Astyanax mexicanus: one gene and its partners. The protein of the gene in region 1 purifies or fractionates together with the protein of each later gene. This does not show direct contact. Links are inferred from orthologs where the notes say so. Each region holds a gene or a part of one and is shown on either strand. Other genes may lie near its edges.

What was found.
Region 2: the proteins of sf3a1 (region 1) and snrpd1 fractionate together in Homo sapiens (co-fractionation; 4 studies listed by BioGRID and IntAct, with this or other methods). This does not show direct contact. The link is inferred for Astyanax mexicanus from reciprocal best matches to the Homo sapiens genes SF3A1 and SNRPD1.
Region 3: the proteins of sf3a1 (region 1) and snw1 purify together in Homo sapiens (affinity purification with mass spectrometry; 3 studies listed by BioGRID and IntAct, with this or other methods). This does not show direct contact. The link is inferred for Astyanax mexicanus from reciprocal best matches to the Homo sapiens genes SF3A1 and SNW1.
Region 4: the proteins of sf3a1 (region 1) and cdc5l purify together in Homo sapiens (affinity purification with mass spectrometry; 3 studies listed by BioGRID and IntAct, with this or other methods). This does not show direct contact. The link is inferred for Astyanax mexicanus from reciprocal best matches to the Homo sapiens genes SF3A1 and CDC5L.

Annotation. Positions count from the first base shown.
Region 1 is NC_064419.1:31,893,666-31,900,774, reverse strand, and holds the start of sf3a1 (splicing factor 3A subunit 1), read right to left. Parts: upstream 3,007-7,109; 5' UTR 2,783-3,006; coding exon 2,741-2,782; intron 1,622-2,740; coding exon 1,512-1,621; intron 1,259-1,511; coding exon 1,048-1,258; intron 915-1,047; coding exon 657-914; intron 487-656; coding exon 412-486; intron 193-411; coding exon 42-192; intron 1-41. Other genes in the region: ccdc157 (coiled-coil domain-containing protein 157), read left to right, coding at 3,157-3,404, 3,863-4,022, 4,429-4,869, 5,168-5,390, 5,505-5,582, 6,248-6,420, 7,022-7,109. UniProt on the Homo sapiens protein: Component of the 17S U2 SnRNP complex of the spliceosome, a large ribonucleoprotein complex that removes introns from transcribed pre-mRNAs.
Region 2 is NC_064410.1:2,559,633-2,566,512, reverse strand, and holds the start of snrpd1 (small nuclear ribonucleoprotein Sm D1), read right to left. Parts: upstream 3,012-6,880; 5' UTR 2,866-3,011; coding exon 2,852-2,865; intron 1,756-2,851; coding exon 1,679-1,755; intron 379-1,678; coding exon 187-378; intron 1-186. Other genes in the region: clptm1l (cleft lip and palate transmembrane protein 1-like protein), read left to right, coding at 4,376-4,540, 5,482-5,576, 6,598-6,787. UniProt on the Homo sapiens protein: Plays a role in pre-mRNA splicing as a core component of the spliceosomal U1, U2, U4 and U5 small nuclear ribonucleoproteins (snRNPs), the building blocks of the spliceosome.
Region 3 is NC_064408.1:54,941,378-54,949,381, forward strand, and holds the start of snw1 (SNW domain-containing protein 1), read right to left. Parts: upstream 3,022-8,004; 5' UTR 2,882-3,021; coding exon 2,868-2,881; intron 2,226-2,867; coding exon 2,072-2,225; intron 1,954-2,071; coding exon 1,792-1,953; intron 1,713-1,791; coding exon 1,617-1,712; intron 1,345-1,616; coding exon 1,238-1,344; intron 1,146-1,237; coding exon 1,041-1,145; intron 876-1,040; coding exon 806-875; intron 716-805; coding exon 650-715; intron 553-649; coding exon 436-552; intron 1-435. UniProt on the Homo sapiens protein: Involved in pre-mRNA splicing as component of the spliceosome. As a component of the minor spliceosome, involved in the splicing of U12-type introns in pre-mRNAs.
Region 4 is NC_064421.1:16,938,549-16,946,438, forward strand, and holds the start of cdc5l (cell division cycle 5-like protein), read left to right. Parts: upstream 1-4,875; 5' UTR 4,876-5,044; coding exon 5,045-5,089; intron 5,090-6,728; coding exon 6,729-6,832; intron 6,833-7,890.

The DNA of each region.
Region 1 (7,109 bases):
TCAGTTAATCTAGTTTATTCACTTAATCTGGACACATTTACCTTGCTCATTGGGCTGGAAGTCAACTGTCTCCACAACAACAAAGTCATGCCAGTCAATCTGAGCATAAGCCACACGCTCTCTCTCTCTCTCCTCTTCCTCTTTCTTCCTTTCTCGCTCCTGGAACTTGGCCCATTCCACCCTGTACCGCACCTGAAACAACAGAAGCAAATATTATAAATCAGTAAGGCCTTCATGGTGTACTCTATGTGCAAGAACAACAATTTAAACAGAAATAAACAGTGTGTCATTAAAATATCATTATTCTTCAAAAATAACTCCTGAATACCATTTTTTTCTTGCCTCTACACAATATGTATTGTGACATCTTGTTTATCGGAGATTAGATTTTATGGAATGAATAAGTCTTACCTGATCCAGAACCTCCCGTGGATTCTCAGCCTCCCTTTTGAGTTTCTGCAGAAGTCCTTTTGGAGGAATCAAAACCTTTATTTAAAAAAAAAAAACACACACAAACCTCAGAGTGAGCACAAAACACTTCACAATTAAACAATACACAAACAAAATTCATTCATTTAGAACATTTTTAAAAGTTACAACAAAACTTACAACCATTTGAAAACTTAGAGTTATTACAGATGGTCTCATCAATCTACCTTTGTGTACTGTTCCACCAGTTTGGTGAAATAGTTGAAGAGGCTGTGCTGAGGCCTCAAAAAGTCAAACTGGTAGTTCCTCTGTTCTTTCTGCATCAGCTGTGTGAGAAACTGACGGCCATTGCGGGCGACAAACTGAGCTGTCAGCTTCACAACATCTAGGTCAAAGGCTGAGATGGAGGGAGGATCAGCGATGAACTCAAACTCTGGAGGAGGCTCCTTCGGCACAATTGTCTCATGGATCACCTGGGCTTGGACCTGAAGAAATATTGACAAATAGGGAAAATTACAACACTGGAACAAACAAAATTTTACATGTTATAAAGATTTTATAGACAAATAAATACAGGAAAAGTATTGGATACTCTACATTCAGATGCTGGAAACTTACCTTCTGTGGAAGCTGCTGTTGGGATTGCTGCAGGGACTGTTGCTGCATAACCTTAGGCACCGCCGCCGATGGCTCCTGGCCTTTTCCTTCTTTGAACTCATTAACTTTGTGGCGGTAGTAAGCATGGTAAGGATCATTAGGGTTGAGAAAATTAAACTTTGGGTTGTTGATCTCATTCTGCCGAATCCTTGCTTCAAACTCTGGGCCGTTCCTGTGGATGACATGGGTTCAGTAAGGTACAAGCAATGTTGTGAAGAATTTACCTGCATACATATATTACACAAAAAGTGTTTGTTAAGTTAACCTTTCATTATACTTTGTAGTCGCACCTCTGTACAGTGTGGAAAAGGCTCATATCTGTTTAATAACTTGTCCGATTCAGTGGCTTTAAATTTTAAGCATTAAGTAAAGTGAAAACCATGGCACAATACATCAGATAATATGAAACAGACAGTGCACCAGACCTGGCTACGAAGCTCGCAGTCTTGTCAACGATATTTCGGACTTCAGGTGGTGGGTAAATGATTCCCACAATGGGCTTAGTTGCCGGCGTCTCATCTTTCTGTTCATCGCCCTGCAAAACAGAAGAAAAAAAATTATTATTTATATAGAGAATGAGACAGAGAGAGAGAGAGAGAGAGAGAGAGAGAGAGAGAGAGAAAGGTGTTGGAATGGTTTATGTTTATATAAATATCAGAAAAGGACAATTGGAATTGCACATCGATCCACAGCTTGGGAAAAAAATTGTCCTCGTCACCCAGACAAGCCCACAATCGGTCCTGGGTGTGGAATCGTTTATACAGGACGGGTTATGTAACATAGAACACCCTAAAAAAAAGTCATGGTGCACGTATACTGCAGTATAGCCCGTTTTAAAACTTTAAAACACCGAAATGTTAAATGTTTTATCTGTTCAACTGGAAAACCAGGGGAATTGTCATTCAGTTTAATAATTTAAATTCTTGGCTTAACACTATAAATCCAATACTAATCAAAGCATTAACGTTTTATATTCTACATACTCTTGACAGTAGAAACATTTTCAATTCATTTCAATTCAATTCAATTCAAATGTAGAATCCTGCAATAACGTGGTGTACCAATCTTGTTAGTTACTTAACTAAGTTAACGCTACATAAGATGATTAGCTAACGTGTAAAACACAACTCTTTCATTGATTTTGTGACTACTCTAATAGAGAGCTCGAAATACCCATTAAATAGCTAACGTATCCACTGTTTTCGCCGGATTCCGCTTTTTACCTGGTCCCGACTAAACTAGTTCGTTAGCTAGCTAGTTTAGCTAACATAGCTAAAATGCTTAGCTAGAAAAGCTAAACCAACGTCAGCTGTTAGTACATAAACATATATTATGCCTTTAATAGTATTTCTCTGCGCTTGTTTTTAGATTTAAAAGCAAACTGCAGCCAAACACAGAAATAAACAATAATTATTACTTTATTTATTAGCAAATTCAAACTTAACACAATAAAAAATGAGACAGTTGTCTAACGAAGTAAAAGCTAAGTTAGTCTTAAAGTCTATAGCGTTAATTAACCTAGATAGCTAAACAGTTAGACTTAACGTTAGCTGGCAAAGCACTACTTTTCACACACATTAATACCTAACGAAAGAACTATGAAGGAATTAATGGGAAAATCACTATACAAACAGTAAAGTCGCTGTTGGCTCACCTTGTTGTTGGGCTCGGGCTGGCTGATCTGAACAGGCGGCATGGCTGCCTCTTCAAACTGGGCTGGGATTAGAGAAAATCACACTCACACACAACCTTCCGTCCTCAATACCACCCTGTTTACCACACAGATCTCTTTTGTTCAGCTGAAACACTCATTTATTGAGTTTAAAAACAAAAAAACCTTCGATAATTAACGTGCGCACTCCGCCATCAAACCGGGGTAGGCGGCCTGCAGAAAAACACGATCACATCCGGGACACGGACTGCGGGTCACTATGGGAAGTGTAGTTTCTTAGAGTGGCGTTAGGACTACAGGTAGCCACGGTGACGGAGGAAACAGAGGAAGCACACAGTATTGTTGAAAAATAAAGAAGTTTAAAGTGTTTCTGCGCTTTCAGAAAGCTGAATGGGAGGATGACGCATCTGTTAGGACGCCAGGACTGCGTGGAGAGTCTCCGCAGGGACGTTATCGACCTGCAGGCGGCGGTTCTGGACGTGTTTTCTCGAACCGGGCCGGTCCGCGTTCCATCGTGGAAATTCCCCGATAAGGTATCGTGTAATGTGGACCTGGTGCAGCTCCTGCAGGAATATGACTATACTGAGGGAGAGCCTGAGTTCAACCAGCACTCACACATCGTCTTGCTGGAGCTGGTGATTGACAGGTAGGTGGGCGTCTGACAGTAATGCATTTTTAAAATGCAAATCAAATAATGCAATTTATATTAATTAGTGATTTCAATAAAAGAAGATAATCAATAAAAGAAAAACAATAGAAATTTGTGATGAATCACACCTTTTCGTTTTTTACACTATTTATTTGCTAGTGGGTATTTCAATTAAAATAGAGTACACTTAGATTTGTGTTATTGTGCCAATCATTTAAAATACACCTCTGGAAAAAAAAGAGAGACCACTTAAAATTTCCCAATGATGATTTTACCAAATTGAAAATCTCTGGAATATAATCATAAGAAAGATGGATGATCACAAGCAATCAACCCAAGCTGAACACACTAACACATAATCAGAATGTTATAATATGCCATGTTATTGAGCTTTTTAATAAGTGTTAAAAAGTTTTAATAAGTCTAAGAAGTGTGTGTTTACTTGTCTGTTACAGACTGATGCTACTGCTGCAGAGTTTTAACATCTACACAGAGATGATGATGGGAGATCAGAGAGGCCATTCTGGCAAAACTGGGCAAGGGGTGTCCATCGGGCCAGTGGTGAAACGCTATTGGACCAACCTCGTCCGGCTTAGCAGCCAGCAGCAACAAGGGGTAACATATGAAATGTGTATATACTGTTAACATAGTGCATCAGGTCCAACTAACATGCTGACTTCATGTGGTAATACGCAGTTTAATATATTTTTTTTATAATAATTTAAAATAATGTCATTATTAATTACATTAAAATTACTTAATAATAACTAACTCATAAAAAGTTATCAATGAGCTTTTTATGGTTAAAAGGGAATTAAAGGGAATTCAAAGTATAATTATGTAACAACAATGACAGCACTGCAAGTAAGTAACAAATAATCAGATATTGTTAAGTTAAGTTTGCATTTATTAAAGCTTATTACTACAAAGTATTATTGTTTCCAATATTGGGGCAAATCTGATTTTATGATTTAAATGTTTTATGTCAAATATGAGCAGAGTTTCTTTTTCTTTATTTTAGAGAACAACTAGTAAAAACAGCCAGCGTTCTCCATCTGCTCCTCAGCACAGCATCTCACAAACTGACATCACTTCATCCACTGCTAGAAGTGCCCTGAGCACCCCAGCCTCCAAACTACAGAACCAACGCCCAGCCTCCTCCAGCCCCAGCAGGACAGCTCCCCCTGCCCCTGCCTCTGAGTCCCGCAGTGTGAGCGTTCAGACAGTGGAGTCTGCACTGGTGCCGTGTACAGCCTGTGCCCGCGTTCAGTCCAGTCTGAAGGAGAGTGCAGAGGCGTGCTTGTCTCTGTGCCGGGCTCTGGGTGTGAACTCCTTCCTGCAGCACCTGCTGATGGCTGTGGAGGACACGGAGCAGCTGGGGCGTCTCACTGCAAGTGACTTGGCTCAGTGGGCATGTGAGCAGCGTAAAGATATGGGGCGCATTGAACAACACATTACTGAGGTGAGGTGATCAGGTGTTGGTCACAGTAATCACAGTTCAACAGATAAAATGTGTTACTATTACTATTCTTGCTTTTCTGTTATTTTCCATTTATATAACACACCTCTGAAATGTCTTATGATTTTCTAGTTGGAGCAAATAACATGTTTCATTAGCCTTGTAGCTTCAGTGTTAAAACTAAATTAGATAATTTTAGACTTAACTGTTTGTTTATATTCATAATTTTCATTTATCTTAATCGAAACTTAATCGAAAGTTAATACAAATACTAATGTGACCAGTTTGTTTTGAATTGGAGGTGAAAGAAACAGTGGATTCACTTAGAAACAAACTGAAAAAAGCAGAAGAGCAGAGAGGGAAGCTGAGGGCTCAGCTGGAGCAAGAGAAGGAGAGAGCAGAGAGAGAAAGAGAGGAGAGGATGAGCAGGGAAGAGGAGTGGGAGCGCCAGCTGCAGGAGCTGAAGACCAGAGGAGAGGTGATGCAGAGGAAGCTACAGGAGGAGCAAGAGGAGATAAAGAGAGGTCAGAGCACTAAATTTTAAATAAATTACAGTCATTTTTCAATAAAATATCTATCTAGTTATCTATCTATTTTACAACCAAAACCTGCAGGTAATTTTCTTTCTTTTTTTTTAGGAGCAAAAGCTTTAGAAATAAGAGTATCAGAGCTGAGCAGAGAGCTGGAGCTGCAAAGAGAAACACAGCAGTGTCTCCGTAAGCAAACAATGAGTACAACTTACTGTCCACTTTATCAGAAACCCTTTGAAGAGGCTGTAGCACACCTGTGAGCAGTGTGTACAGGCCTTATCAGTTTCTAAATGCAGAGCCACTTGTAACTAGATATTTTTGGGTGGTGGACATTCTCTTAATCTAGCAGTAACACCCCAGCAACACACATTGTATGTATACGTTCTCTACATGTCCAAAAGTATCCAGACACAACAGAACCTCCATAGAAAAGCAGTGGTCAACAGAACCTGGCACTTCATAATAGCTTTAAGCACATAACCCTAAGGTCACGATGCCCAACACTGAGGGAGCTAAAGGAGTATAAATCTCCCCAGAATTTTTCTGGAGTGATAGAGCTCAATCCAATACTTTTAAGAGGCAGTATTAATCATATAACTTCTGTACTTGACTTCACTGACATTATCACTTTTGCAATTGAGTAATGCAATCACATCCTCCTCACAACAATGTTAAAGATCTAATGTAATAGTTTTCCATAAGTGTAGACATTGGTATAACAGATGTCTGGATATTTTTTCGAGCACCAGTTTAATGTGTGAGTATGGTGAAGGACGCTAAAAGGACTTTTAAATGTGTTGTGCGTGTTGTGTGTATGTGGCCATGTGTTAACAACCCGTTTCTCTGTGCAGAGTGTGAGAGGGATTCTCTGGTGGAGGAGGTGCACCGTCTGCATCTGCAGGAAGAGGAGAGGAAGAGAGAGTATCAGGAGAGCAGGAGAGAGTTAGAGACGGAGCTCAGTAACATTCAAACACTGCTGGACAAGGAGAGCGCCAAATACCGCAGTGCACAACGTCAGCATGAGGTGTGTAATTATCAGTAACACAGTTCTTGCCAAAAGAGCTGAACTGTAAGAACTCAAATGCAGTTGTATACACGGTATACATAATATATGTTCAAATGTTTGTGGACACCTGTCAACATTCATGTACTTTAATTTGCATCTATTGCTGACACAAATGTGCACATGCATGCACACAGTTGGTCTAGTCTCTGTCGACAAGTACTGCCAATAGAATAGGACTCTCCGGAGCAGATAAGCATGAAGCTTTTGACACTGTGCCTAGTGCCAGGCATGAGCTAGAAGGTTATAAAGCTTCCAGCTTTGTGCTGTGGAGTACAGAAACCGAGATCTCTGCAACAATGGTGCTCCATCCAGTACTTTTGGGATGAGTTAGGGAAATGAGGTCCATCCTGAACTCATTAACACTCTTGATGCTGAATGCTGTCAAATACTCACAGTAATGCTCCACAAACTAGCGTAAAGCCTTCCCTGGACAGTATGTAATACCTTCATTTTCAGAAGCAATAATGAATGAGTGTATGTTCCAATACTTTGTCCACATACACATATATAAAATGATAATGATAAAATGTGTGCGTATATGTTTGTGTGTGTGATATAGGCAATGCAGGTAAAGCAGCATGCTCTGCTGGAGCGTGTGGATGCGTTAGTGCAGCAGTGTGAGGATCTGCAGACTCGTTTGGAAGAGT
Region 2 (6,880 bases), on another chromosome or scaffold:
ACAGAAATAATATTTGTATTGAAAATGGTTATTTATAAAAATATTTTAAAAAATATTAAATAAGGTAATGATTCAGCAGGGAGAGGAAACATCTTCATACAAAGATATTTCTTGACCATTTCAGAAGCAGTACACTCTTACACTGTACATAACTAAACTCCCCCTTACACACAGTGCTGCACTTACCAGCTTCCCTCTTCTTTGACTTGACTTTGGGCTCTATGTCCACCAGCAGCGTATCAAGAGGAAGACTATCTGGAAGGATGAAGTAGCGGATGTTGTTTCCGCGGATGCTCAGCGACTCCAGCTGGGTGGGCTCTCTGTTTTTCAGGGTCATCTTCACAGCTTTTAGGTGGGTGTTCATACTGACATCCACTCCTGAATAAAAAGAGGGAAAATGACAAGTCAGTTTGTCTATCAGGCAGACAGATACTTCTCCAGTTCAATAGGGTCCTGTTTTAAAGCCTTAAAATTTACCATTACATACGGACATTAAACAGTATATAGCTCATTGTTCTGTGTTTTGCTAACTGATTTAGACTTTACAAGAGCCATGATGATGCCCCACTAAATAGCCACAATACAAAGGGTTAAATAGGGCTTCACAAAAAAAAAAAAAAACTACTAAAAGCTTACTAAAAAGGGTGGATTTTTGACCTGAATTATACACACAGTTTTGATTTAATGTATACAATGTATAAAACCCAGAGCACAAAATAGAAAAAAAAAAAACATGATTAAATGTTTGCAAACACATTTTTTTGGTCCCTGAACAGGATTCAATCTTTTACATAAAGTATGAAAAAGTATGATTATCAGATAAAAAAAAAAAAAAGAGATTTAACATAGTAGAAACTTTACACCAAATCTAACAGAATTTTTGCCTTCTGTGCTCTGAACTGATGCAGAAATTCCACAGCTCCTTTCCACGTTCTACTCTATACTTTTTTCATACTTTAATTGTTTTCCTTCTCATTCTTAAAAGAGAACACACCTACACAATATTAAATATATATATATATATATATAGTGCTCATTGCCCACTATATATTTCCATCAACGTATTCTTATAATAAATCAAAGTGTTGTCAGTCATAAGCTTCTGTGCCCAGCTCTGAACAAACTGAGCTGCCATCTTTGTGCATTTGTTTGATCTGCAACCATGACAACTGTGCTTCGATCGGCCAGTATGCCTTTAACATACCCATACAGCACATATGATCAATCAGGCTCTGATTAAAAAATAATAATATTGCACATTTTGGTATTTAAAAATCTGACTCTTTATTAAAAGGTCTTCACACAAAAAGGATCAGTGTGGCTGAAGGTTTTAATTTAAGCCATCAACTGCCTGAAGACTGACCAGCTGATTCAACAAGTGGAATCAGGTGTGCTGCTGGATGTGTAGAAGCCAGCTTATATGCAGAGAAGACGGCACACTCCTGACATAAGTACACAGAACAAAGCATTTTTATCATCTGCATCATTGTGGCACAAATAAAAGTGTAAATAATACACTGAAACGAAATTTAAAGGCACAGTTTTAAGGTTTTATTCTTTTTATTCGTATTGATAAGCATTATATTGCATCAACCAAAATTAAGAAATGTATTGTGAAGCTCTACTTCAGCCTACTAAAAGACTAATGCATCAAAATATAAAAACACCACATCCTCACCTGTGATTGTGCCATGGACTTGGGTGCCATTCTTCAACTCAATGGTAACAGTTTCATGGCTCAGTTTCATCAAAAACCTGCAGAAAAGAACATAACACACTTAAAATGAGACATAAATCATATAGTGGCTCTGTAACACACACACAGTTGCCTTTATGTTAGAATTATCAGTACCACCTTAAATTGTGCAATAGTCACATAGAAGCCCTGCAGCAGTTAAGGTCTACGTTACATGCCCTTTATGTGAATCGTCCGTTCCACCTTAACTGCTGCAGGACTTGCACGTAACTACTTCACAACAATACACAGGCTATAAACAACCACGTATCGCAGATTAAAAGCCAAATACACTCATTTTAAGTTACTAATAACTGTATTTAACATTAACATTTAACAAATAGCCAAACACACGAACAGCTCCTGACCTGCATGCACGACTTAAGGTGGAACAGACAATTACAACATAAGAAGCAGCTACACCTTCACTACAAAGCTAAACTTGCCTTCATGTTGGAATTGTCGGTTCTACCTTAAAATTTTGTGCAGTAGATGTGTAAGCCCTGCAGCAGTGTAAGTGTAGTTGCCCTTTATGTGAATTATCAATTCCACCTTAACAACTGCAAGACTAGCATGTAACTACTGCACAATTTAAGGTGGAACGGATAATTCACATAAAGGGCAGCTACAGCTTCTCCTTAAACTGGATACACAGGTTATAAACAACCACGTAACGTAGATTAGAAGCCAAATACAATAATTTTAAGATACTAAACCCTGTATTAAAATTTATATTACTTACATTTAACAAACAGCCAAAGTCAGCCTGTTTGAGTAGGTTAGCTAAGCTAGGTTAGCAAACTAGCTAGCTAGCAGTTTGGGGCACAGTATAAACAGTTTAGTTCACTTTATCTAGCTTAATTTAGACAAATTACACCCCAGCAAAGAGCGAGTTTAGTTTAAAACGGCATTTATAGCTCCGTTTATGAGATAAACTCTCTTTTTATCCACCCATTCATTCATTGACTAACTCCCGGTTCCCGCCTCTCAGCCCCGCTGCAGCTCATTTAGCCTGTTAGCTTCCACAAACAATCCAGCCCCATCCATCAAACAGGGGATAATTTACAACATCTAACAACTGAACACCGTAAAATAAACCGTCTACAATCCGCCTACCTGACGAGTTTCATGTTAGCGGTGGATTCGGTAAAGAAATCCTCCGCCGGAGAGAGAAAAAATTGTAGCGCTAATAAACGAACGTTATCGAAACGCTACTGAAACACAGATGACTACATCCGGCGCAGCACGGAAGAACTCCATTCATGGTCTACGTCACAGGTTACAGTTGCCAGATCTACACATAAATCCCCTCGTTGAACCCCATTTATTTTTTTTAGTACGTTTTAACACATGCATTAAACTATGTACTGTTAATAACTAAATACGCATTTTTAATTGTAAATTTAATAGTATAGACATACGTAAGACACAAGACAATAGTACAATTGTAATATGAGGTATAATTGCTTAAGGCTGATGAAGTGATACAGTTTCACATGCAGAATTTGTGTAAATTATACCACAGTTAGTTCCGACCCTGCAATGTGATTGGCTGAGAGGCGTTCTATGAGTGCTGTTATCAGCCAGTAATGCACTGTAACCGAAGCTCTCAATGTATTACTTTTACATACAGGTAGGCAACCAAAGATGCAGCGCTTACAAACTAAACAGCACAGCTACAAACAGAGCAGCAATTGAACTATTTAAAACATTTTAAGATCGTATTTTCGTTAACAGCTCACACATTTTCTTAGCCTGTCATTTCTGCGGGCCCCAGGCCAGCTTGGGGCCCTAGTTAGAGGTGGGCGGATTGATCCAAATATTGATACTATCGATACCAACGCTGGTATTGGTATTGAGCAATGCTCATGTAAAAAGATCGATACCCAATCTTTTTTTTCTTTTCTGCATGCACTGACTGTCTAGCGACGAAAAAAGTACAGTAGCGAAGAAAATTCCTTATTTTTGTATTGTTTTATTCTATTTGAAAAAAAGAAACAAAGAAAGAATTAACTAGAAAAGATGTCTATTGAGGTGAAAATTATATTTTATTTTTGTATTGTGGTTTCTCCTTTTCTACCTCAAAAATATATATATTTTTAATTTTTAAATGTTAAGGCAAACTTTGTTTTGTTACTGTTCCATTGTTTCTAAACAACAATGTTGATTGTGATAATAAAGTATTTTGTTGTCCCGTTCAATGTTTGGCGAAATTCTATCCTAGGTCTTTTGGGTCCTTTGGATCTATAAAGCTTTTATATGAAAAATATAACTCTAGCACTAGTCAATTGAATGGTTTGCTTACCTTGTTGCAACCTGCAATCTGCCCATACTCGCTTTTTTTAATTAAGCTTGAAAGCAACCAATCTGGCAACCCACAACCCAGGAGCTCAGTGGCGGAAGGAAGAGTCAGAGCTCGCTTATGATGAAACACTATAATCTGACCTAAAACTGAGTCTGAGCTCAGAAACCTGGATTACTGAGGATCTACAGCCTCACCTGCCTCACCTGCCTCACCTGGAGGAGGAGAGGAGCTGAGATATGAGAGCGGGCTGTGCTGAGAGCGGGTTAGCATGTTAGCGGTGTGAGTGTGTGTGTGTGTGTGTGTGTAGCTTTTAGTTGAGGAACTGCTAAAGCAGCATGTTCCAGAAGACCTCCTTCACCACCCTCATAGTGGGGGTCTTCATCGTCTACGTGCTGCACACCTGCTGGGTGATGTATGGCATAGTTTACACCAAACCCTGCGACAACCCCAAGAGTGACAAGTGCATCAGCCCTTACCTGGCGGGAAAGCCTCGTCTGCAGGTGAGCAGTGTGTGTGTGTGTGTGTGTGTGTGTGTGTGTGTGTGTGTGTTAATTTTTAGATAACTGTGTTCACTAATTCAGTTTTTTAGGGTTTCAGATCAGTGGTTCTTGAAAGTGGCACTAAACCCCACCCTCAGCTCGAATTTGAACAAATGCTAAACAAAAAAATGGGAGGGGTTAGTTAGTTTGGGAGGGGCACTGGGTGATGTATGGGTTTAGGGGTGGGAGAGCAGGAGCGGGAGCTGATTGGCTGAGCTGCAGCATCGGCATTGTGCCTCTGATAGCGGTAAGATGCAGATGATTGGTGTCAGCAGGGGGGCGCTATTATTGATTGACTGATCTGCATATTGTAAGTGTCCACCTACCAAAGTACACGGAAACATCATCCACGCCTGTATCACAGTTCAAAACTGTGAAGGTGCTACAGAGGTAGAAGTTAGTTCCAACCCTGCAATGTGATTGGCTGAGAGGTAGGTGTTCTATGAGTGCCGTTATCAGCCGGTAATGCACTGTAACTAACCGAAGCTCTCCATGAATTACTCCACCACATACAGCTAACCTAGCAACGATGCAGCGCTTACAAGCTAAACTGCGCAGCTACAAACAGAGCAGCAATGGAACTATTTTTACTTGCAGAGTGTTTATAACCAAACATATCGTATTTTCTCTTCCTCTTTAACTCGAAATATTTTAATAAACAGTGGTAATGAAACTGTAGTATAATCTCAACAATACGCTTGAGGTTAGTGCTATAACATGTTATATTAGCACTGCTGTAATTACAAGTTATAGCACTCCCACTCCTATTATTGTATTATTGCTTAAACATTAATTCCATAGGCCCTGAGATGTTGCTGAGGCTATCTCTTCAAACCAACTGTGTATAAAGTCTGTCTTGTCATTTTAAAAAAATATATTTTTCATTGTTATCTTCACCACAGCTAAGCATCTACACAGCATTACGACCCAACACTGAAGGTGGCCACAGTCTGATCCACAGAGAGGAGGATTTTGATGTGAACACCAGATTTGAGAGGTAAAGTTCTGTAGTCATTTAGTTAGTAGTGGGGATTCACCAAATACATTGGATATACTTACTCTGTTGTATACATTGGCCACACAAAGCCAATGTGGACAGGTTTTAACACCCCTAATCCCTAATATAGAGCAAGATGTTCCAGTTTAAAGACTTAAACAACTCACTTCTGAGGATCATATTTCATATTTATAGATTGAAGGAGCTTTTGAGGTTAGCGGCTAATGCTAATACTGCTCCAGCCTTGGTGCTGGTGAAACTTCTGGAGAAACTTCAGCTGTACTTCAGCAGAGTGGCCTCATAGTGTGAAAAATAATGGTATTTCAAAAAGGCTGTGGGTATGTCCTACCTTTATTCCAGTTCCTACTACTAAATAGTTTTTTAGTATGAAGAATGTAGCATATATTAAAGTGTGATATAAGCTGATTATACACAAATATCCTTAATAAATATTTAATAAATACAGTTTTGTGTACTACCCTGCCAAACCTACACTGCAGATTTATTTATAGTATATCATCGCTGTCAAAAACATGTACCTAAAAAAATATTTTTTTCGATTTATTACATACTGTAATTTAAAAACACGCAAACTGACGCTTTTACAGTATGTAAAAAATTCTTAATGAATGGACCAATAGAAGTTCTCTGGAATGACCTGAAATTGACCTGAAATTTTATTTTTTTTACATTTTTTTTTTTACATTGACTTTAATTGAAAGTCAAGAAGGTTATATCTCTCTCCTGATAAAATGCTGTTTTGGAGATGCTTGTTTTTATTGGACAGTGACAATTTACTCTGTAGCATTGGCACTCTTGGCTATTTTAGTGGTTTGTATTTTCTTTTTATTGCCTTATTGCTGTAGACCAATTTCAGATAATTAAATGATTTGACTATGTATTTGCTAAATACATGCTGGAAAAAATTTGGAATGGATATGAAGTTGTGAATTTTATTAATAATATTAAATGTTAGATTAATTTAAGGCATTCTCTTCTTTCTATCTTTTTTCCACTAAAGGTTAGTAAATGTGTCTTTGCCCAAGAAGACACGTAAGAATGGAACTCTGTACGCCATGGTGTTCGTGCACCAGGCAGGAATGTCGCCGTGGCAGGATCCCCGCCAAGTGCACATGGTGACCCAACTCACCGCCTACATGCTACCCAAACCCCCTGAGGTCAGCCTGATCACAGGCGAGGACGAGGCTCAGGTCAGAGTTTATTTCTTTATAACTAAATACACGTGCTTTCTCTATCACTCAAAAAGAGAGCAGAAACAAATAAATAAATAAATGTGGGATTTA
Region 3 (8,004 bases), on another chromosome or scaffold:
CTGTCTCGAGGTGTGTATTATCTCAGTAACTAAGCTTACTGTAAATGAACAAAAGCTCTTTACTTTTTTTTTTTTTATAAAGTTTTGTATCCTTAGCTTAACTTAATTAGCTACAACCCACCACCACCCAGCTGCGAGACCTGCTGAAGTAGAAGTTCCTTATAGTGTCTTTTAAAATGTACCTTATAATCTGGTGTGCCTTGTGTAAGAAAATAAACGCTAATTAATGTGCCTCATAATACAGTGCGCCTTAAAGTGAGCAAAAAACGGTACTGATAAAAAAGAAAAGAAAAAAGAAACGGCATCATTCCTCCTATTAAACTATTACAGTATAGAAAGTATGTGAGTCATAATCCCCAAAATCAACAACAATTGTTCATCACTTAGTCCTTATTGTCCACCTGTATTTTTTTTTGACAAATATAGATAGATTACCTTTCTATCTGCAATGTAGAGAGCTTCAGCTAACTTTGCAAAGTTCTCATTAATATGAACTGTCTGAAGACCTCTTCCATCAGCAGCAAGACGTTTATCCAGTGGGATTGTGTAACCCTGAAAAACAATAATGAACATTTATTTTGCCATTCAGAAAGACAACAGAGTTAAAGGTAGATAATTGTAAAGGCAGACAACAAAAATCTGCTGAAACCTTTGCGTTCTTCCAGTTGGAAATGCATGGAGGAATCTTCCACTCCTGTTGTTCTTTCACCGTCATCTGAGACAATAAGAAAGTTAATTAATAAAAATTTAAAAATGTATCCCATGTAATGAGCAAATATGATGCTGATTAAATTATGGTACTCACCTTTCTACTGGGAGAGTGCATAACTGGAGCAGGAGGAGAGGGAGGTCCACGAGGAATTTTCTTATTAATTCTATTCAAACAGACATATGCAAGACACCTTACATACTATTCCTGATCTTTATTCAGTTAGCAAGTAGTTAGAAATTACTTACTGGTACTATACACTAGCCCATAACTTTTTACATTTAAAATGTACACAGTAACATAGTTCACCACTGTGGGTCCTGTGACGTACTTAAAACGTGGGGGTTCCATTGGATCTTTTTGCATCTCCACCATACGGATGACCCTTTGCTTGGCCCCCGAGTTGAATGCTACTCCCTGCTGAGAAGGTGTGTACCTGTTGCAAAGAAATAATAAGTTACAGAATATCTAGGTTGAACCACACAATTGACACCACAGTAAAACATACTTGTGAGGTTTGAATATTACCGTATGTACTGTGCTGGTGCCTGTTTATCTGCTGCACGTACAGGCATTGCTGCAGCAATTTTCTGGGAAACCTGCTTGTCCAAAGCAGCTCTGGTCTTCTCTGTAAGCTGAAATAAAAGAAATACATTTGAATATATGTTACATTTTCATTAAAGAAATAAATTTCAAAACCTTAAAATCTTACTGAAAAATAAGGTTTAACAACATTACAGCAAAAGTACTAACAAGGAAATTACAGTCATCCCCCAATTAAAATTCAAGAACATTATTTTTAATTAAAACCAAAAACCAAACCAAAATTCATTATAATCAATTATTACTGCATTATTATCCACTGACAACCTGTAAATGCTTACAAACAACCACTAACATATCTCACCTCTTTAATGGCCTCTTCATCTGGTCTCTGTAACTCTGGGGCATCATCATTGAGCACTTCTTTAGGAAGCAAATCTGTGTATTTACTGAATATAACCTGTTGAAATTACACAAGGTGTGAGCATACATTTTATAATATGATAAACAATTCTAAACTGTTCTAACATAAGATGTACCTTATCCTTTCCTTGGCTTTGTCGAGCAATTGCATCATACTTTATTTTGCCCTCAGCATCCACCTGTACAGCAAGGGCATTGGATGTCTTCTTTTTTCTGCCCATCTCCAGTGGATACTGAGCCACGTGGATCTCAGGGAATGCACCACCATCTCCAAAATCCTTTAAAATAAATGGTAATTTTAATATGTTTTTATAGTACAAAATGAAAAGTACTACATCACAAACTATTTGAACTCATTTAATTTAATATGTTACAAGCAGATAAACACAGACACACCTCAATACTGCGGGGAACCCATCCTTTTCGAGAACCATAGGGAGGTGGTTCTCTTCGAGTGAGCATCAGAGATGTGGACTGGGACCTCTGAGCTCTGGTCCTCTCTTCTGACTCAAGCTGGTCCTGGGACAGCTGAGTGGGCGCGGGTAAAAAACTGTAAAACAAAGCATATCTACATTAAAAATACAATACCAATCTATCTATTAACAGTCCAATAATGTTCAACTGAGTACACTTATGGTAAAACATGACTGTGTGCTGGTATAACTGGCATAAACTGACAAAACACTCAATGTAAGTGTAATGTAATATATATTTTACACTTACATTGAGTGTTTTGTCAGTTTATCCCGAGAGAGACAGACAGACAGACAGACAGACAGACAGAGAGACAGACAGATCGCTGAACACCGTTTTGGCTGGACGGATATCTACAGTAAGACTAGCTTTAGCTAGCCTAGCGTGCAGTAACTGTTATGTTTCTGTACACAGTTCTAATCTGATATCTACATTTTAACTATAGCTAATAAACAAACGACAGCCTTGATTACAGCTTAATCTACCCGTGGGTTCATGACCGGGGAAGAAAGTGCGTTAGCGTTAGCTTGCTAAGCTAGTTAGCCCTGTAGCTAACTGGCTAAAGCTAGCGGATAAAATAACAACTAACTTAGGCCTTTCAGCCAAAAACGGATTGCAGTAGAGAACCAGAACACCCCCACAGACACAGTTCTGTGAGTAACCCGCCGACAGTGCTAACAACAGGGTAACAAAGCTAACCGGCTCCAGAGTGACTCACCTGGCCAGAGACATGTTTTCTCTCTTTGTGAAAAGCTTCAGCTCAAGACTGGAGACTCTCAGCGCAGACCTTTCTCCCCCGAGCTCCAGCTCCCTGCTAAAGTCTCGCGTTATTAAAACACGTCAAAATAAAAGTCCACACCAACACCACGCAATCTCTCCAGAGGCGAGTCTCTCACCCAGGGGGCGCTATAACATCAGCATCTGCTATCTCGGTAAAGTTAGTTTCATTTTTCGGCGCTAATAAATTTTAAACGGAGGGTGAGATCCATCTGATCCAGATGATACTTACATAATCAGGGCAGTAGGACCACTGAGACAGACGCACATCATTCATTTTACTGTTTCGGGAAAATGTGCGCAACGCCTTTTAGCGTTAATACCGAAAACTGAGATAATATGCATGTAGTTCTAGACCACCTCTGCATCTGTAAACACTCATTCATTTACCTCCAAATCACTTCAGTGCCTAAACATGCCAATGTTCTCATATAAGAATAAATGGCTTTAAGAAAAAAAACACACCAATAGCTTCATATCCTTTAGGATTTATACACATCAAAATAACGGGAATGTTCACTTTAAATCATGGGGAAAACTGCACACCCATTAACATTATGCAAAATGCTTACAACTCCCTCATATATTATATTTTATATGTTCACGAATTCAATAGCATTTCAGAAACTGTGTATGACAGCTGGGTGGAAGCAAACACTTTGCTTGTGGTTGTCCATCGAATCCGAGGATGACGTCCATCTCTGTCTTCTAGCGGTGAGTTTTCTGAACAGTCCAACATGGATCCACAGATTCTATTGCATAGTGTTTGTTTGGCTGCCAACCATTGGTGTGTCTCTCCAGAGCACTCTTTGTTGTCTTCTTTGTTGTCTTCTGGCTGTCTATTCCTCCTCCAGTGTTTGGGTTCCAACTAGGCACAGCTGCCACCAGGTGTTGCGATCAGCAGCCATATCTTCCAGATCTCCAGGTTTGATTTTACACCTTTTAAGAGCCATTTTCATTTGGTATTTAAAGCGTTCTTCTGGCTTCCTGCAAGACAAATTATATTTTGGATACAGTGCCAATTGCACTGTATATAACATTTTATATATTTTAGAATTTTAGAGAGAGTGCGCATTTCTAGCGCAGAAAAACGGGCCAAAGAGTCTAAAAGCGGAGAGAGTGCGCATTTCTAGCGCAGAAAAACGGGGCAAAGAGTCTAAAAGTGGAGAGAGTGCGCATTTCTAGCGCAGAAAAACGAGGCCAATGAGTCTAAAAGTTGCCGTAATTAAGGAGTTTAACATTAGGAGACATCATGAAATTAAACATCAATTTGAAAAATCTTAGTTTACACAACACTGTCAAAGATAAAGATAGTAAGCCAAGTAAAATGGTGTGTAAATGAAATAATCAGGAAAAAAGTATTATTTAAAGTGGTATATTTCATTATTTGTTTTATTACAGAGTGTGGCCCTTGACTTCAAATATATTTCTCCTTCTGGCCCCCAGCAAAAAGTTTGGACACCCCTGGTGTAGGGTACTCCAATCAAAAGTGTTGCAGTACTGAATACTACGTACTGGGCAGTGTGCAGTATGCAGTACATACTAGTGCAGTATGCAGTATGCAGTATAGTAGTATGCCATTCCGAATACAGCCCAAGACTCAGTCAGAGGAACCCATCCTACTCGGGTTGACCTGCTCAGTACAAACAAATAACAGAACAAAACAACAGTACAGAGAATTAATGTGAACTTTAGCTAAAATAAAAGGTACTAATTTATGAATATAAAAATGTGATAAGCACAAATTATAGAGCTATGGCCAATACAGAAACAGATACTGAGTGTGTTAATGTTAATCAGTGCAGGGCTGCAGAGCCGGAGTAGAACACAGCGGGCAGTGGAGAGCCAGGATGGGAACAACAGGAACAGGGCATCTCCATACATTTAAAAGAAATAGAAAACAGAAAGGAAAGAAAGAGAAAAAATCAGGAGTTAGAAGGGTTGTGTAATAATTCTGATGAGTAGAAGGACATGGCTGATTCTGGAAAACTGGAACCACAAACGGACACATCCAGGCAGACCGGCCGGGCATCTCAGCACATGTGAGAGAGATAGAGAGAGAGAACAGAGAGGGGAGGGAAGAAAAAGGGGTTAGAATGGTTTTTAAAACTCAGCAGCTCAGGACATGGGGAGAGAAAGAGAAAGCAGATGATTAGGACAGGGTTTATATTTGCTGGATAAGCTGTAAGAGGAAGAAAATTGTAATGAGACATTACTCAAAAGCTTGAGCAAATAGAAATGTTTTGAGTCTAGATTTAAAGATTGAGAGTGTGTCTGAGTCCCGTATATTAATAGGGAGGCTATTCCAAAGTTGGGGAGCTTTATAAAAAAAAGCTCTTCCTCCTGGATAGTTTTTTCTAATGCGCGGGACTAATAACAGGCCAGCGCCTTGGGAGCGGAGTGAACGCGGCGGATTGTAAGGAGTAAGAAGTTCCTGCAAATAATGCGGGGCCAGACCATTGAGGGATTTATACGTCAGGAGGAGTATTTTATAATCTATACGAAATTTAACAGGTAGCCAGTGTAGGGATGAAAGAATAGGTAATATGATCAACCTTTCTGGTTCTAGTAAGCACTCTCGCGGCTGCATTCTGAACTAGCTGGAGTTTATGAAGTAATTTATGTGGACTTCCAGCCAACAGTGCGTGTTTCAGTAGTCCAGCCTCGAGGTTATGAATGCATGCTTCAGCTTCTCAGCATCTTCCAGAGAGAGTATACTGCCTACTGATGTTTTTACCCAGCGGTAACATGTAAAGAGTAATGGACACAGTATTGATCCCTGAGGGACACCATATTTTACTCTAGACTGATAAGAGCATTCTTTATTTAAATAAACACACTGGAATCGATCTCTCAGATAAGATCTGAACCAGGTAAGGGCAGATCCTTTAATTCCTATAAGATTTTCTAACCTATCAAGCAGAATAGCGTGATCTATGGTGTCAAAAGCATCACTAAGATCTAGCAGTACAAGTATAGCAGTACTGCCCCTATCAAGAGCTGAAAGTAAATCATTAGTTACTCTAAGTAAAGCTGTTTCACAATTTTTTCTAGGATTTTGGCTACAAAAGGAAGATAGAATTTGGTCTATAATTAGCAAGCTCACTGGGGTCCAGATTTGGTTTTTTGATAATGGGCTTAATGACCGCCAATTTTAGAGAATTGGGTACGTAGCCCATGCTAAGAGATGAATTTACTATTTCTAGTAATGCCCACCTTTGGCAGTGCCTGTTTAAGTATCTGTGAGGGTACTGGATCTAATATGCACGCTTTTGATGAGTTAATTACACTAAGTAAATATTTTTCTGTAACCAGGCTGAAATACTCTAGGTGTGCCTCAGAGCTGGAGCAGCATTCATTAATATCTATAGGTACATTTTGGGAGTAATACTGAATTTTTTGTCTAATGTTATTAATTTTATCATCAAAGAACTTCATGAAATCATTACTATTAATGTTGGCTGGGGTAACGGAGCTAGTTTGTTTTTGACTGCCGGTAAGTTTAGCCACAGTAGTGAAAAGAAATCTAGGGTTGTCTCTGTTTTTCTCAATAAGCGCTGAGATATACTGGGATTTTGTTTTAATTAGGGCTTTTTTGTAGTCTGTGAGACTATGCTGCCATGCGAGCTGGAAAAATCCCTAATTTGTTTATTTTTGTTGGCTCTACATGATCCAGGTTAGAGCGGAGCACAGTTTGTAAGTTTTCTGTTATGTGCTCGAGATCATGTTCATGGGACGGAAGGGAGATAGTTAAGTCAGGGGGTTTATTTACAAAATCACTAGCAATTGAGGTTGTTATTTTACGCTTGCTGATATAGCGGGGTGGGAGGAGGATATTTTGATTAAAAACTATTTCAAACATAATTAAATAATGATCGGATATCGAGTCATGTTGAGAAAGAGTAACTGTATTCTCAGCCTCGATACCCAGTGTCAAAACTAAGTCTAATGAATGACTACATCGGTGAGTGGGGCCAATTACATTTTGTTTGAAACCTAGAGCATCTAAAACTGATTTAAATGCAATTTTAGTGGATCCTGATCCTTTTCAAAGTGGATATTAAAGTCTCCAACAATTACGACCTTATCAGAAAGAAGAGTTACTGCTGCTAGAAAGTCATCAAATTCACGGATAAAATTTGAAGAGGACGATACAGTGTTATTAGCAGGAACAAATGCTGTGTTTTGGAAGCAGGAGATGGGCCTGATACTTTAAGACTAAGAACTTCAAACGACTTAGCATCCAATTCTGAGTTTTGAGTTATACCTAACATTGAGTTATAAATTGTGGCAACACCACCGCCACGACCAGAGCTGCGTGGGTAACTAAAATAGCTAAAACCTGGGGGGGTAAACATAGACATAGTGCACACAGACATAGTGCAGTAAGGTGATTATCAGTAATAATATCATTAACAATTACTGATTTTGGTGCTAGCGATCTTATATTTAATAGCCCTAGTTTAATACGGACGCTGCTGGTACTCTGAGAGACGGATGCTGTTGTTTTAATTTTAATAAGATTATTAAAACAGATTTTCTGACTTTTTCGATTTCGAGCGACACATGGGACACAGTCTCAATCCTACACAGTAAAAATGCACTTGTATCAGAAAAAGGCACATAATTGTAACTCACGGCCTTATGAACAGGAAAGTGGCAAGATAAATCATCAGAAGAATGTATATTACTAAACTGCCCATTACTTAGACCACTAACCTGGCCGGTATGACTGGTTAGAGCCAGTCAGTCCCGGCATAGCACCGCCTCAATGTTTCCAGAGAGGACGGCGGATCCCAGGCGGCTGGGGTGAGGCCCCATATCCTTCATATTTATGATTTAGTGCTAAATCTGTTGCATATTCAATTTTATAAGTTTTAAAATGTAATAGCATTTATACTGCATTACGATGAACAATAAAAACAACTGTCTATGATACAGCTTGGTGGCAGCAAACATGCACACTCTTTATTTGGATACCTGGATAACTGTAAATTCAGACAGAAAAGTAGACATGGATTTATGAATAAAGGTTGAACAGTCATGTTTTTACTGTTTGTTTCTAAATTGTACTGTTT
Region 4 (7,890 bases), on another chromosome or scaffold:
TTTGCCAAATAGTGGACCCACAGCCACATAACTGGTTATTAATGATTTTTAAGGCATTTACAACCTAATTAATAACCATTAATAAACTAATTGTAAACCATTTAATAACCCTTTATAAAGGTAGTCTTATTTTAAAGTGGTACCGAAAGGCCGTACTATATTTGTTTGTGCACCACTTTTTCCCCCACATATGATAGTACATGATAATATGCAAATTACTGTCTCGACCTACTGTATCAATTAAAATATTAATTTAGTTAAAACTTATGTGTAACTTTCAAATTGTACACCAAAGCAAAAATGTTCAGTCCAGGCTCCCCGAGGGAACACTTCACTTAGAGGCCCTGGGTAGTCAGTTCCACCATTCCCCCCAGCTGTGACACCCCTGGTTCCTGAATGGCCTGCGGATGATGCTTCTCATTGCACGATACAATGAGCCTTTTCTCATCAGCGAACATCTCAGCCTGCTGCGGCTATTAAAATCCAAATAGGAAAATAATCATTTACAGAGACTCATTCTGTCTTTTCCAGTCTGAATAGCTGTCTGATGATTATTGCCATCTCTTGTCTTACGTTTACAGCGCTGTAGAATAATTGTGAAATTGCATCTTGTTTCTTCCTAAGTGCGTTTATTGAAAACCAATTACCATGTTAGCTATGGTCATGGGCTCGCAGATGTACTAACACACACACGGTGTCTCCATCCTGTTGTAATAGTAGAATGGTAATCTGATCTGCACATCTGAAATTAAATATTCCACAGTGCACATCATTACCTGGAGGGTTATGCTAATGGAAGATGCTGCCTCTGAAAAATGAAAGGCAATTTCCTTTCTTCGCAATTCCGCTGAAATTGCTGAATTCAGCCAGACGCAGCAGCACCTCTGAACCTGGAGATGAAGTGCTTCAAATTGTATTCCAGCCAATGGGCTCCTGTTGTCCCCTCGCCCAGCTGCCAGCTGTGATGGTGACCCGGACACTGCCTAAAGCTGAAGCTCCTCTGCAGGTCTGTCCTCCGCCAATTCGCCCTGGCATCTGTGTTCTGGCCCTGGCAGGTGGGCTTTCACAATGCAGATACACCCTCCCTTAGCCATTCTCACTGGTTCACTATAGAACTATCTAGAGATTTAGTAAGATCCTCTGATGCACATTTGAGTTTACTCGTCGGTGAAAAGTTTGTTTAAAGCTGTTTATAAGAGAGAAGATATATGTATTGATGAGTGTGTTAGGGCGTATGTGTGTGGGTGTGTGGGTGTGTGTGTGTACTTAACGATTTTCAAAGCTCTCCTTGAGGAACTCCAGTGTTTACAGTTACCGTCCAGTACCTAGTTTATTTAATCAATCCTTCATTAAAGTAAATCAGAAGAGTTGCTGGTGGGACTGAAACAATCAATACAGTCACTAAAGTTCACACAGAAGTCAGAAACCAAACCTGAGTTTTGGGTTCTTCTAAAGCACACATCAATCTTGTAGACCCTGTTTACACCAGGTCAAATTACTTCCCAGCTAACAGAGAACTTTCTAAGAACCTTTAACAACATTTTAAAATGGTTCAAGGAAGGATAACCTGTAATGTTAAAGAAATAATGTTTCAGGAATGTTCTAAAAACATGTGACATTATAGTGGTTTGCATCATAATGTTATTAGAATGTTATTAGAACCCTTGTCAAGTGACTTCCCAGCTAACAGTAAACTTTCTAAGAACATTTTAAACAACATTTTAAAAAGTTTTCAGGAAGGTTAGCCTGTAATGTTACAGAAACAAAGTTCCAAGAAAGTTCTGAAAACATGTGACATGATAACGGTTTGGGGTTGTATCTGCACTGTATCTTGATCAGATCATTTTTAACCACATGCATTTCCACTTGATAGTCAAATGAATTTTGATTGAATCACATCATATTCTAATTGTTGTTGCCTTTTTGTGGTATGGCCTTATCCAGATATAATCTTGATTACCTTAGTGTCTAAGAACTGAGAATAGTCCACCGACTGCCCTGTAGGCAGGGTGTTTAAAAACTCCAGCAGCACTGCTGTGTATGATTCATTCATAGTATTAAAACACACACTACTCAAACACACCTGCTCTGTGGTTGTCTCTCCTTTGGGATCCTAACCATTGAAAAACAGGGTGAAAAGAGGATCATAAAGTATGTAATGAAACAAATACAAAACTAAAATCTGTAAATAAAGACCTATAAAGTGTAGAAACAAACAGGTAATCATATTTGAATGTTGTGCTTGACAGGTGTATGAAGTATTTTATAAGAAACACTGCTGATATAAACTGTTTTCATACGTTTTTAACTTGGAAACAGTACTCTCCCATGTTTTGTGCAATGTGAAGAACACTAAACAAGATCCACTTTGAGTGTCTTAGTTCAACTAGCAGCTGCTGGATGGTGAACACAGAGGAATACAGAGGCAGTGCACTGCTGGATAAGCTGCCTGAAGCCATCATGTTTTCATACAGCTCTTGGCATTTTCTCAAGCAGCTTTTCCCACAGAAGCAAAGAGGTTTTTCATATGCTGACTCGCTAATAACGTTTAAAACACATTCATATATAGGGGAGTTATTTGTATTTTCATCAGAAATGTTGAATTTAATCGTGTGAACATCTGTGTTCACATTGATAAAGGTTTCAATGTGCATTTTTTGTGCATCTATGAAAGGTGTGTTGAAACTTGTGTTTAGGAGACTGTAAATCAGTTACAGTGGAATATGTTAAAGATGAACAGTGAGAAAATAATAAACAGATCAAAACTGCTGATAATCCCCCATAAGTGGCCATAAGATAAGATAAGATAAGATAAGATAAGATAATCCTTTATTAATCCCACAATGGGGAAATTTACCATGTTACAGCAGTGCAGAGTAAAGGACAGAGAAACAGGTCAGGAAAAGGTAAATACAAATAATGATAAATCTATATATACAAAAAAACTATTGCAGGAAAATATATAAAGATAGTTAAAAAAATTATATATAGTAAAAGAAAAAATATATATACATCTAGTGCATAGAGATATGATTATGGTAGGGTGGACCAGTATTATTGCACAAGAGTAACAGTGAATAAATATCAAATAAATAATAGATAAAAACAAAAGTGAGAAAAAAATATTGCACATTAAATAAATTGCACAAATGGTGATCACAGTACTCGTAGTGAGATGGATATTGCACACGGTAAGCATTACAGCTACACTGAGTAGTATGTAGGTTGTATGAAGTCCTGGGAGCGTGGTGTGTTGTATAGTCTGATGGCGTGTGGAAGGAAGGACCTGCAGTATCTCTCCTTCACACAGCGTGGGTGCAGCAGCCGGGTACTGAAGGAGCTGCTCAGTGCTGTCAGAGAGTGGTGCATGGGATGGGACAGGTTCTTCAGCATGTTGTTAAGCTTAGTCCTCATCCTCCTGTCTCCCACCACCTCCACTGGGTCCAGAGGACACCCCAGGACAGAGCTGGACTTCCTGATGATTCTGTCCAGTCTCTTCTTGTCAGCGGTGGAGATGCTGCTGCCCCAGCAGACCACTCCATAAAAGATGGCTGATGCCACCACGGCATCAAAGAAGGCCTCTGACCTTTCCTGTAGAGAGCAGCCGTGTTGTCAGTCCAGCTTGTTGTTAAGGTGGACACCTAGGTACTTGTAGGACCTCACTATCTCAATATCCGAGCCCTGGATGTTCACAGGCACCGGAGGAGAGTGTTTGGTCCTGCAGAAGTCCACCACCAGCTCTTTGGTTTTTAAATGCCTGATTACAAAAGAAAGCTTTTGCACTTGCATTGCATTCAACAAACCAGTTACTCTAATCAGACTTGCAGTAAGTGTGTTAAAGCAGGGACAGGGTGTCTCCAGGACAGGGACTGATAAACACTGAGTTAGCTCAGCAGCATCAGCAGCTCAAATAGCCAGTCAGAACTGTGGGAGACTCCATTCACTAGGTGGCAGTACAGAGCTCCAGCACGCCATTCACAAACTTACAAACTTATAGGAACTAGACAGAAACAGGGTTGCCATGTTGAGAAAAAAACTTATTGTAAACGTACATTTGTTGTTGAAATCATGCATATTTAATCCTATTTTAATATGTTTAATATTAATGTAATTAGATTTTTGCTATATTCGGGGCTTTAAATTTTGCTGTATTTTTAAATTGTACCAAAAATGTGCATTATGCCAGGAAAAGTGTACATATAGTGCTGTATGATATAACATTAAATGTTGTTTTGCCAAGTTAAAACTTCAGCTACTAAATGTACCCCCTAATACTTAGACAATCACTTTCAGGCTTATCTGAAGTTACACTGAAATACATATTATTTATATTTGTGTAACAATTTCTCTTTTATTTGTGTGTAATTAAATATACCTATTATATATATTATGTAAAATAGTTTATTATATATAGTTTATTATTTATATATATATAAATAGTATATTATATATATATATATATGAGTGAGTTAGCGAGTAAGTTTTGCTCTCATAAAAAAAACCTTCACATTTAATTTGAATTTGAATTGAGGGATATGGAAAAGCCTCTGCACTTAGCCTTATTTAAAGTTATATTATTTATGTAACAATATGTCATTTAATTGAGTGCAAATATATTATTTTTTATGTATTAATAATTTAAAGTAATTAAAAGTGTCACGTTTAACTACACTTTAAATTCCCTCTACTTGTTTAAAAAATATTAGTATAATATTATGAATATAATATGTATTGTATTCTATATATTGTTTAGTTAGTGAGTTAGTGTGAGGTAAGTCTGTCTTTTTTAAATCAAAAACTTCACATTGAATACCCCCTTGGATGGATTATAGGGATTTTAACGTCAATAGCACGAATCTGGCAACCCAGTGAACAGAAGCCATTTGCTGTGGGCCAGCGCTGCGTTAGCGGGGCCGTGTTTTAGCTGCTGCTCTGCTTTCTGAGACGCACCGCAGTTACCCCGGGTCTCCTGGAGCTCCTGTATCGCTGTTAATACAGCGCTGTTTATAGTTCAGGGTGCGGGTGTGAAGAATAAGCTGCCAAGATGCCGCGAATTATGATTAAAGGAGGCGTTTGGAGGAACACTGAGGTGAGCGCTGGGTTAGCAGTGTGGTGCTGACAGGCTAAGCTAACGGAGCTCGGCTATGCTAGGCTAGCAGCCCTGCTTTAGCTGTGAAGTGTGAAGTTAGCGTGTTTAAGTTACTACAGCGTTAGCTGTGTCGTACATATAACTATATTTTATTGGTTTAAACAGTATTAGTCAGTGTTTCTGACACACAAATACACGGGCAACATGTATTCGTTAGCTAGCTAGCTAGTTTACAGATACAGGTAGCATGCTAGCTAGCTAGGTTAGTTAGCTGGACTTGTTAAGTAGCTAACGCTAGCTGTGTGGCAGCAGTGTTTGTGTGGGTGCAGGTTGAGCACCTCTGGACTGAGTTAAAACCTAACGTTATATTAACTGTTGATCTATCTGTTAACATTACATTTTTGCCCTCAGTCCTGAAACTGCACAGCTTGTTTTTTCTGCTCTAACTCGCCTTGTTTAAAGCCAAAATTAGTCCTCGTGTGCAGATAAACACCAAACTACAATACACTGCACTGATCTGGCGTTAAGTAACGTTAGACTAATCAGCAAACTAGTTAGTGTGATCGAGGCCTTTGTAGGTCTTAGTAGCAACACATTCTGACCACCAACTGATTTTTTGTGTATTTATGATAAGCCAGTGCTACTGAAGTGTTTAAATACCACCGGGTTCATCATCTCAGTGTCTTAGGGCTGCATCGATTAGTCGACATAATCGGCAATGTCGATTATTTAAAATCGTCGACTACACATTTCATTGTCGACTAACTTAATTGTTAATTTGCAACAGTACCGCATTACACAAAGTGCAGAGGACATAAGTGCAATGGAAGATGAGTAAATGGTTCACTCAAATAGTTTACACTCAACTTAGTCTCTAAAAGTGACCAAAATCAAATCTTATGTTCAACTTTTTCTATCAATTTTAGAGGTGGAGGACATGGCAGAAATAATCGTTGACTAATCGACTAGTCTGATGATTAAATCATTAGTTGCAGCCCTAGTCTGAGATTTTGAGAAAAGTCCACATACAGTGCTTAAAGACTTCAGCAGCACTGCTGTGACTGATCTGCTCATACCAACACAACACACTAATACCTGACCATTGAAGAGGAAACTGTTTAAAAGGAGGATAATAATAATAATAATGTGTGCAGAGAAACAGAAAGACTATAGTCTCTAAATACAAAACTCCAAAGTGATAAATGAGTGTGGAATCAAACAGGTGATGCTTGCAAAACGTAAATGAAATTTAAACAGTACTCTCCCATTTTTTTACAACTTGAGGGAAAGTAAATAATATCCAATTTTTGAGTGCCTTAGTCTATCTAGCAACTGCTGAATAGTGAACACAGAGGAAATCATAGGGAGCTTCCTGAAGCCATCATGTTCTGATTTATTTGCGAAGCACTGTTGTAAGTCACTCTGGATAAGGGCGTCTGCTAAATGCCTTTAATGTAAATGTAGTTAGTAAGTTATTTAGGTAAGCATCAAGTTTGTCAAACTAGCTGACAAATCTAAACACAATACAGCCACTCCTTAAAAAGATTTATTAGTACTAATTCCAGAAAATGTATCCAGTCATTGTAAAATATTTGTGAACTTAACAATCTGTTCTTTTTCCCCTGTTATCTTTCTGTAGGATGAGATCCTTAAAGCAGCTGTAATGAAATATGGCAAAAATCAATGGTCCCGGATTGCCTCTTTGCTGCATAGAAAGTCAGCTAAACAGTGTAAAGCTAGATGGTAAATCTGTTCTTGTTCTCTCTCAGTGCTGAGTGTTCTGTTTGTTGTTCTGCTGAAGGCTTTTTTTAAATATACTGATTAGTACTAACATTTTAAATTACTTGTGGGTGCTCTTAATGATGCCAAAACCAGTTCTGAACTATTGATGTCTGAGTTCAACACTTCTGAATGTGTCCAGTGACGGTCTGGTCTGGTAGGGCTGGGTATCACCACAGATTTCCAGAATCAAATCGCTTCAATTTAGTTTATTTGATTTAATCCAGTTCAGTATCAATTTGTTTAGGGATATTACCGTTACAATAACAGGTTTTGTTTATATATAAAAAGAGATTTTCAGTGAGCTAGTGTAGCAAATGTAAAAGGAACACTCAACCTTAAAAATATTAGTTAGTACTTGAGCTTCTTAGTACTTGATGTGCAGTAAAAAGACTGTTTGATCACATAAGATCAAAGAATAAGAGTGTTAAAGATTTACACAAAAACACATGGGGGAAATAAAAAGATTTTAAAAGACTGAATTCGAGTTTATGTGAATCAATATCGAGTCATTTAACTGAAGATTGCTTTGACTCGAAAAATATATATTTTTTTTAACCCTCCCCTAATATCTGACATCATAATGTTAAGAGCTTCTGTAAGATGTGAATTGTTTGTCTAACATGTCACACAGATGCTCAGTCTGATTGAGATGTGGGGTAATTAGAGTTCAAGTCAACACCTTGAACATTGAGATGTTCCTTGTACTGTTCTTGGACTGGATTTGCTGGATTTAGCTACTGTTTCCCAGCAGATTACCGCTTGCCTTCTCCAGTGTGCATCATATTGCCATCTTTTTCTCATGTGACTGATGTAAATGTGACTGATGTATATGTGCCTGTCTATCAGGCACAGGATGCAAAAGAAAATGTGATTTATTAGACCAGGCCATTCTTCCATTACTCCAAAGTCAGGTTGCCTTTGACAGTCAACACCATGTTTGTGTGTTCAGACATGTTCCTGCCATGGCCAGCTATAGCTTGTCAACCATTTGTTCTGCCGTAACTCTTGCATCAGACCAG